2 linked regions of the Drosophila melanogaster genome follow. The protein of the gene in region 1 purifies or fractionates together with the protein of each later gene. This does not show direct contact. Each region holds a gene or a part of one and is shown on either strand. Other genes may lie near its edges.

Region 1 (5,379 bases):
GGCTGTCCGGACATATACTAGACAGCAGTAGCCAACGGAGCAGCCAAGGGAGCAACTGCAGCCACTACCACACATAGCAGCCTTAGCGAATATTCTAAAGTTTTCAGATATCCAGCCTCCACACACAACTAACACACCACAGCGGGACACGCTCCGACTGATTTCGGAGCAGCACATACGCATATTGTAGTACCACACTTTGATCTAGAGCATATTTATATATATATATATATATAAATTAATTCCTGTAAACTAACCAAGTTTAATCCATACCCCTGCGTCGAAATGTACTTTGATTATTTCTTCCTGACTACCGGTTAACCATTTCTAGTGGCTTTCCAACAGAAGGCCAAGACAGATGATAGCTCTTAATCCTCGGTTTCCATCCAAACCCCTAGATGTCTTTTTCCTTTCCGCTGAATGCATACTTCGCCTTTGTTGTGTATATAAATATATCGAACCGAATCGAGAGAACCGAGCAAGAAGCGAGAGAATATGTTAAATGTTATAAATTTATGCAATTTATTATTAAAGTATTATTTAAATAAAGCAACAACGTGTGTGTGTATGTGTGTTCAACTGGGGTAACTGACGATGTCGCCTGGCGACACCACCTGCACACCTGCGATAAGATCCCGCCTGACTCACGCGATCGCTATCACATCCGGCTGCCAATTAGGGTGTAGATCGAATTGCCGACTAATAAATCGTGGAGGCGTAAAGTATAGAATTCTTGTTTTAATAGTTACACTTCCAAAATTTATAAAGCCCTTATCAATCGTTTTTGGTTTTCAGTTTCCTGGCTGGGGTCATTCAATTACGGCTATACTTTCTTTTAAATAAGTACAAGTGGGATCTTGACCAATAAACAAATATTTAACAGAATACATTTCAAAACTATTTTAAAATATTTTCCAATACTCCAATGCTTACTTTCCTATAAGGTTGCCACTCGTCGGGCCTCCACAGGCTGCCATCGATCAGCATTTGTTGACTACACACAATAGATAACGTTTTAGCGGAACAGAGGGCGACCCTCAGTTGTTATCTGTGGTCTGGGAGGGTTCAAATATGTCCAGCGACTTTAGAAGTGCCTCGGCCGACGGGTCGCGACCCTGGAAGCGACGGAACACTTCCGCCGTGGGCACAGATCCGCCGCAGCTGAGGAAGGTCTGCTTGTAGCGCCGGCCAACGACCGCGTAGTTCTCTTCGCTTCGCTGCTCAGCAAAGCTGCTCGAAATGTCGGCGGCTATGAGGCGGGAATACAAGTGACTGAACTGGGCGGCCGCCCAATCTCCGGCAAAAATGTCGGTCAGGGAGCACGGATGTGCGTCCTTCTTGTCCAGCGGCATGCATTGATAAACCGGCCACAGCTTGCGAACCACCTCCAGCCAGAAGGCATTCGAGCGGTGCAGCTCCACGTCGAGATCCGCCAGGTAGAGGTCCTGGCACAGATTATAGCCAGCCAACTGAGTCTTCAGCAATCGCATCTTCTGTGAAAGCTCAGCCTCCAAGGGCTCACCGCTGCTAAAGTGTCCGGATAGGCTTCGAATCACTGTGGGATCGTCGAGGAAGTTGCTCATCACATGACCGGACACTTGAGAGGCATCCCACTCGATGTTTGAGAGTCCCGCCAAATCGCTGTACCCCGCTTGGGTGAGCAGGTGTTGGAGTCCGCTTCCAAAAGTCTTGAAGAGCATCTGCAGATCATCGTATCCAAGAAGCGGGGGCTTGGCATCCGGACTTTGTGGCTCCGAAAAGTTAAATATCAGCGCACAGAGAGGCGTCAGCCCGGCAGACTTATTGCTGTTCCGTATGCCCACCATCCAACCATTGTTTCTGCCGAACTTGTGCTCCTTGGAATAGCAGTCCACATAAAAGCCACCCACCGGGGTGGAGCTATTGACGGAATCAGCATCGAACACATCGTAGAACTTAACTGCCGGATGCCACACCTCCGCATTGGGCTGCTCAACTATTTTGATGCCGAAGAGCTTTTCACTCAGCGCAAACAAGCCGGAAAGAACGCGGGGCAGTGGGAAAAACTCGCGGAGCTTCTGATCTTGGAGACCGTGCTCCGCCGCCAGTTGCTTGCGCCGCCAGTAGGCAACGTCGTAGGCTTCCAGCTTGTATTCACAGCCACTGTCCTGAGCGAAGCCCTGTAGTTTCTCCAGCTCCACACTTTGAGCAGGGCCGGCGAACTTGAGAAGCTTGGCAAAGATCTGCTTAAGGTTGTCCACACTGCCCACCATTTTGGTCTGCATGGACATGTCTGCAAAGCTTTCATAGCCCAACAGATTTGCCTGTCGCTTGCGCAAACCGCGTATTTTTTCGATGTGTGTGCTGTTCTCCAGGGATTTTTCCTGCTGCGAGGATGCCTTCAGCACACTGGCCCTCCAGACGTTCCAACGCTGCATTCGCTCTGGGCAGTGCTTTAGAAAACCATCGACCACTTGAGGCTGTAGGGTTATCTTCCAAGGACCCGTCATAGGTTGTCCGGGATCGCGGGCTGTTGCCTCAAGAAGCGAAGGCGGGAAATCTCTTACAAGATTGAAGTCCGTAATAATCTGTCCAAACGAGTGCACTGCCATGTTGACCTTGTTCTTGAAGTTGGCTCTCTCTCGACCCAAATGGGTAAGCAGCTCTTTCAGTCCATCCTGCTTATCTTTGTCCAGCGTGAGCCCGTTCAGCTTGCCCTCGAGCAGGAACTTCTGTCGCATCCTCTGCTCATCTGGACCCGAATCGGACGAAGCATCCTTGAGTGCCTTATACACCGTTTGATTGCAGAACTTCGCTGCCCGAGCGTTACGCGCTCGTTCGTGGATGTTCATGTAGGATTTGGTGGGTATCAGGGTAGAATTGCCCAGGTACAGAGCCTTGGCCACACCCCATGTCGTCTCCAGTGGACCCGTCACGGTGTCCAGCTCCCGAAAGATGCTGGCGGCATTTAGCTGCTTGCCACTGTGCAGGTCGCTCTCCAGCGCCTTCACCGAGTTCTCCACCGCCGATGCCTGCTGACCAATGGCGCCCAAGCACATCTCGATGGTGATGTCACTGAAGGCGGGAAGTCCGTCCGGCTTGAGCACGCCCTCGCCTAGCGGTCCCTCCTCACCGATCTCCGGTACCCTGCGGGGATAGGTTTAGTGACTCCACATGTTGAATCCGGGTAATTTTCGTACTTACAGCACTATGTAACCCGGCCGGTTTTCCGTTGAGTGCAGCGGAGCGCTAAGCGCGGCCCGGATGAGGGGCACCGACGTTGGGCGCCTTCGTAGGAGATTTAGCATGTCCTAGGTGAAGTCGTTAATCCAGATATGTACAATTCCGGACAGTTTGCGCCGGAATTTGGGATTCTGAAATGGGGGCCAGCGTTTACACAACACGCCTGGACCAAAAAGCAAGTGACAGCGGCCAGGGTTGCCACCATCAGCGGTGGAGCCGGCAGTGATGCGAAAATCACACTTTACTGCAGTCACTGAATCCAATCTATCCTAATCTGTGACTTCTCTTTTTTTTTTTTTTTTTTTTTTTAATTTTTATTATTTATTGAATCTTCCCTTTGTGTTAAGAGACTAACAATAAGTGTTCAAATCTTAATCTAACTTAATTAACTTTCACTTAGTGATAGTTTTTTTTTTTTCATTAATGCCCTAATAAGTTTATTGCTGGGCTGGGAGGTCGTTGCGGTGCAGCCGGCTTTGACTGCATACTCGGATTAGTTTTCTTGCGAGGGGATTTGTATGGGTGGTCAGCTTTTCGTTATACTTCGTTTTTTTCTCAGCTATTACTTCGATTACTAATTTGATTTTTAGGTCTCTGTGTATGTTTTCGTTCCGAAGGTACCACGGCGCTCCAGTGATAATTCTCAGAATTCTTGACTGTGCTCGCTGAATAATGTCTATGTTACTTCTGGATGCGTTGCCCCACAGCTCGGAGCCATAAGTCCAGATAGGTTTTAAGACGGAGTTGTATAGAAGAGCTTTGAACTCCAGACTAAGTGGAGAGCGAGCATTTATGAGCCAGTGGAGGTTCCTTGCTTTAAGTTTAAGATGTTTCGATTTGGCTTCTATATGTTTGCGCCAAGTGAGCCGCCTGTCCAGATGAACTCCCAGATATGTTACCTCGTCGGCTTGTGGAATGCATATGTTATTCAAGACCAGTGGTGGGCATGTTTGTTTGTTTAAGGTAAAGGTAACCTGCTTGCATTTTTGAACATTTATTGAAATTCTCCAGTCGGCAAGCCATCGTTCTACAGATGTTAAGTGTCGGGATAGGAGTGCCGTGGCTTTTATTGGGCATTTCGAGCGACTGAGTATCGCGGTATCATCAGCGAACGTGGAGGTTGTTAGATTGTAGTCTATGGGGAAATCCGCCGTATACAGGGTGTATAAGATTGGACCCAGTACACTGCCTTGCGGCACTCCAGCTTCGATTGCGCAATCGCGTGAAGTGCTTGTATCGCATCTTATTGCAAACACTCTGTTATATAGGTATGACTTCAGTAGCTTATGTGTGTTTTGGGGCAACAGCTTGATTATTTTAAACAAAAGTCCATCGAGCCACACTCTGTCAAATGCCTGCGCGACGTCTAGAAAAATGGCTGTGCAGTATTCTCGATGTTCAAAAGCAGTACGAATTTCTGACGTGATTCGGTTGACCTGTTCGATGGTTCCATGTTTTTCTCTAAAGCCAAATTGATGTGTTGGAAGTGTGTTGTTTATTCTAAGATGAGGGCTAATCCGAAGGAGTAGCATTTTTTCAAACAGCTTTGAAAGACATGTTAGTAAGCTTATCGGTCTATATGATGATGGCTGCGTTTTATCTTTTCCTGGCTTTGGAATCATTACTATGGTCGACTTTTTCCATTTTTGAGGGAAGTATCCAAGCTTGGCGATTGCGTTGAACAACAGGCAGATGTGAAGAATAGCACACTTTGGGAGTTCAATGAGCATTCTTGGAGTTATTAGGTCGTAGCCAGGCGATTTTCTTGGGTTCAGTTGCTCTTTGATAACCTTTGCTAGTTCACATGGTCGGAATTCAAAGGGTTCTTGAGGATCTAGATTGGCTGCTATTAAAGGAGGGAGAATAAATGTGTTGGTAGAGGGATTTGGTCGGAATACATTTTGTAAATGGTCAGCGAAAGCACTGGCTCTTTCTTCATCACTTCGAAACCAGGTGCCAGAGGGACTTCGTAGTGGCATAATTGGCGCTATTGGAGTCTTTAGGTTTCTGTGAGCTCTCCAAAGAGGGTACTTAGTGCTGGTGGGAGAGAGTTGCTCGATATATGAACGTTGGCTGTTTTTTTCCTCTTGTTTGAGAGCATTGGTAAGCCTGCGTGTGGCTATCTTAAGCATGTGCTTAGTAATTGGTGATCTATTA
Region 2 (4,139 bases), 360 kb from region 1:
AGAGCAGCGATGGGATCTCGGAAAGGATCTTATTAACTTTTATTTTTCGGTTTTGGAGGACACGTTAAAAAAAGTTGGCTACAAGGGCAAGATGCCGACCAATGATGGTCTGTGGAAGCAAATACACCGACACAAGTTTTATGGTAAGTGCCTATTTTATTTATCGCCTAGTTTCAATAAGCCTAACCACTTCAATATTTTTACAGACTTCTTCCTTTTAACCACTTTTTCGCCAATGATTGTGGCCGTTAAAGCGAATACGTTTAAAATACACGAGTTAATTCAAGATCCGGAAATCAGACAAAAATCATACCTCTATGACCCTTATGTTCAAGATGTCAAAAAGCTTTTGGGTAAATATGAGGAAATGGGATACTTTAACGATCTTTGATCTATTTTTAAAGCTATCAGTTAAAATGTGTATATATTGCATGGCTAATTGATCGCAACTATATGAACCATGTAATTTTTTAGGGTTTCCTTTTGCTTTAAATTAAATAACAAAACGTATCATCAAATTAAATTTTTCTTTTTTTTTAATTTGGGTGTAAAATACTCATGGAATATTTGTCTGGAAAGCTTACTGTATGTGGAAGCCCGAATACTTTTGATCGAATGTAACGCAATCTTCATTAGCCCTTTGTCACTATTCATCCAAGAATCCAGATAGCTCGAATTCTTTAATAGTTCGCTGAAGGAAAGCCCGATACTTGGGGTTTTCAACATTTTCCCGGCGGAAACGATCACCGCTCTCAGTGCGTGAGTTCAGATCCTCAAGGTTTTCGAAACCAGCTCCCTCCCTGAAGATCAGTGGAGTCAGGCAAGTGGCGCCAATGACACCTATAATGGTGGAGTCATTATGAAAACCAATATAGATAAATGGTGATGATGATCATACCCATAAGACTGGTCTTGATCAACTCGATGTGGATTTCTTTAAGAGTTGGAATGTGTCCCTGGTAGTTTAGCTTCTCCAGGGTCTGCTGAAGCACTCTCTGGTATTCCCTCACAATGTACTTATAGTGGACCTTACGAACATTCTCGTTCAAGGATCCGTAGAGGAAGTAATTGAGATCAATGGTTGGGGATCCCACATAGGCCAACTGAAAGTCCAACTAGTGAACGAAGAGATAAATTAACGTGGATTTCGAATGGATTCTCGTCTATGAATGACATACTGTGACCACATCGTCTGGCTCCTTGGTCTCGTTGTTGATGTGGAACAAGAGATTGTTGATCCACAGATCGGTGAGGTTGAAGACCCGGAAATCCTTGCCTGTGCTCTCAAACATGGTCAGCGCTCTTTGCAGGACATTCTCGGCCAGGTTGAACATCTTCTCGGTGATCTCCTCGTAGCCCTTCCAGTGAGCCACTTCCTCGGCCACGCAGCGAATGTTGACGGGGAAGAAGGTGAGGAAGTCACGACGGTCCGGATTCCTCGAAATGGGCGCCTCGTCGAAGAACTCCAGCACCTCGGGGCTATCCTGGGCGATAAGGGCGCTGCAAGCGTGCAGCTTGGCGACCTTCTCGATGGTGGGCAGTACGTAGTCCAGATTCAGCAGTCGACCGCGTTCGAAGTTCTCGAAGCCGGACAGCTGCATGTCCTCCAGAATCAGGAATGGCTCCGGCGATTCCGTGGTGTAGTAGCACGTAGGTGCAATTTTCGTTTGATCTCCAATGGATTGGAGCAAGGCTTGAATACGTGGAAGCACCTCCTTGTAAGCCAGAATCTCACGCTTGAAGAGCTTACTCCTGTGGGCCACAGCACCTGTTTGTCCCTTGGGATGATCCTTCACAATCACTGAAAACTTGCCTTTGGGTGCAGTGCCCCTCTGAAGATTGAAACTGGCCCGATGCATTTCGCTGGCAAATCCCGCCGCCTGGTCGCCCACTTGGGCGCTCTTTACTATCAACTCGGTGACTGCCAGCTGCTCTTCCTTGAAGTGTTCCTTCAGCACATCCTGCAGGAATTCGGCGGTGAGCCATTCCGGAGCCTGGTAGTTCTTGCTGCCGGTTCCCATTGTATTTTCTTCTTTTTTTCTCAAGTCACCTGACCGCACCGAATAAAAATAACAGAGAGCTGAGTAGCAACTTACGCTGGGGGCTATCGAATCAAGAATGTGGGGCAAAACATGTGACGGGCTGGGAGAAAGATAGAGCTTCTGTAAAGCTCTCTCTGTTGTTAGCTTTGCGCTGGCTTATCAGCTGATTTATGTATATATAATATTATTTATATGTACATGTGGAATCTATGGCGGCAATGAAACCGGTTTATTGAGCAGTGTGGAACTTGTGCCCGATAACAACAAATAAAAGTGGAAAAACAGAGATACATATATATTTAACGTACTTGTTAGTGATGTTTTACTGTTTTCCTTGGGGAACAAATAAAATGTGATCTGAATACAGGCAACTGTTGTGATAAGCTTTAATGACTTGGCATTTATCTAATGTATTTATTCTATAGGTATATATTCTATATTCTATAGATTTATACATATTCTATGCCAGTTAGAGGATTTTCTTCAGAACTTCAGAAATGCATTAGCACATTTTCTACAAGTTATCAACTTCAGAAAATTATTTCAATAAACAAATAGATTTGTTTATCTGCTGAAACTATGCTGTTTACTATATTTGTTTTGATAGTTGAAAACATATTAAATTATGATGTAAAAGAAGTTACAGTCCAAACGGGATAAAGTATGTAAAATATATATATATATCGATCTACTTGTATACATTTTTAGTCTTTAATACAAATTCATATACTTAATTTCGGTTTTAACAGTAATGACTTGAACCGCTTCAAAAGTCTAGAATACCACGCCGAAGTAGAAAGGGGAATATGCTGAGCGCAGAGCGGACGTAGAGTGGATTTGTGTACACCTTGGACCGGAAGCGATCTCCTTCCTCTCCCGGCTGCGTAAGCTTCACCAAGCTAGCTTCCGTATCCGGTGGCAGCAAAATGAACACAAGGTGCGTGAAGGTGGTAAAGTAGCCTGATAAAAGAGTTTTGTATCATTTATATATAGTGATCGTCTAGTTAAATTCTTACCCCAAAATCCATACTTGATCATGCTCATATGCAGCTCCCTTAGCATTGGTATTCGTTCGCTGTATTTTAGGATCTTTAGGCAGCGCACTAGGTGTGTGTGGTATATCCTGATGAAGTAGTCAAAGTATTGTATTCGTATACTATGCCGTGCCGAACATATGATGAGTTCCCAAAGATCCTGAGCCGGACTACCCCACTTGCACAGTTGGAAGTCCACGAAACGCACCTGGTTGATATCACCAGTTTGAGTATAGCTTAGCATTATGTTGCTGGACCAAAAATCACCGTGATTTAGAACTTTAAACTCCTGCGGATTGTTGTTAAAGCAGCTGGCGTAGGATTGCACAAATTGATCGGCCGTGGGCTTGAATACATCATCAAATCGATGTTATTGAATGTTAAGATATTTATTAGATTGTTTAACTTACAATGCGACTCACATACTGTTCGTGATCGGCCAGACCCCAACTGGCTATTGCAGTTTTATAGCTCTGGAGCCTCGCCTGATACGATTTCGATTTCTGATAGTTGGCGGGTAGGTAAATCCTCTGAAAATCATCGGGAAACGGTCCTTTTCGCTGACGCCAAACGGCACCTGCTGCATGGAATTCCGCCAGCTTTTCTAGCACTCGATGCATGTGGGCCATGTCGAAGCCCTTGAGGCGATTTATATTTCGGTACTTTTTCGTTTGCAAATCCTCCTGAACCAGGCAGATCCTTCCTTTGATATCCTCCGCATGGTGGCACTTTGGTGCAAACTTTACACTCAGCCCAGCTTCTTCGTAAAGCTGTTCCAAATTAGGTATAATCGTTTCGTACATCATCTTCTCCTTTGGAAAAATGTTGAGGGTATTCACGAATCCACCATTTCCCTGGGCGTCGTCCAGCATGGTCTTTACTATGTAGGACTTTTGCTGTGAGAATCCATCTATCGAACGATCGATAAATCGAATAGTTGTTATATTGTTTGATATAAATAGTATTATATATAGAAAGCACTCAAGTTGATTTGAATCAAATTTGTTTTAATTACTAAATAGGAATTAATTTTTGTAATTTGGCTATGGTTTTTCTGATTTAA

Evidence for each region. The genes of interacting proteins can lie anywhere in the genome.
Region 2: the proteins of CG11771 (region 1) and CG31098 purify together in Drosophila melanogaster (affinity purification with mass spectrometry, with the first as the bait; one large-scale study listed by BioGRID). This does not show direct contact.

What each region holds. Positions count from the first base shown.
Region 1 is NT_033777.3:24,930,041-24,935,419, reverse strand, and holds CG11771 (uncharacterized protein), read right to left. Parts: upstream 3,411-5,379; 5' UTR 3,288-3,410; coding exon 3,184-3,287; intron 3,127-3,183; coding exon 1,038-3,126; 3' UTR 501-1,037; downstream 1-500. Other genes in the region: Osbp (oxysterol binding protein), read left to right, coding at 1-21.
Region 2 is NT_033777.3:25,290,850-25,294,988, forward strand, and holds CG31098 (uncharacterized protein), read right to left. Parts: upstream 2,129-4,139; 5' UTR 2,022-2,128; coding exon 1,179-2,021; intron 1,116-1,178; coding exon 899-1,115; intron 841-898; coding exon 647-840; 3' UTR 521-646; downstream 1-520. Other genes in the region: CG11893 (uncharacterized protein), read left to right, coding at 1-143, 207-391; CG31102 (uncharacterized protein), read right to left, coding at 2,809-3,002, 3,059-3,422, 3,487-3,986.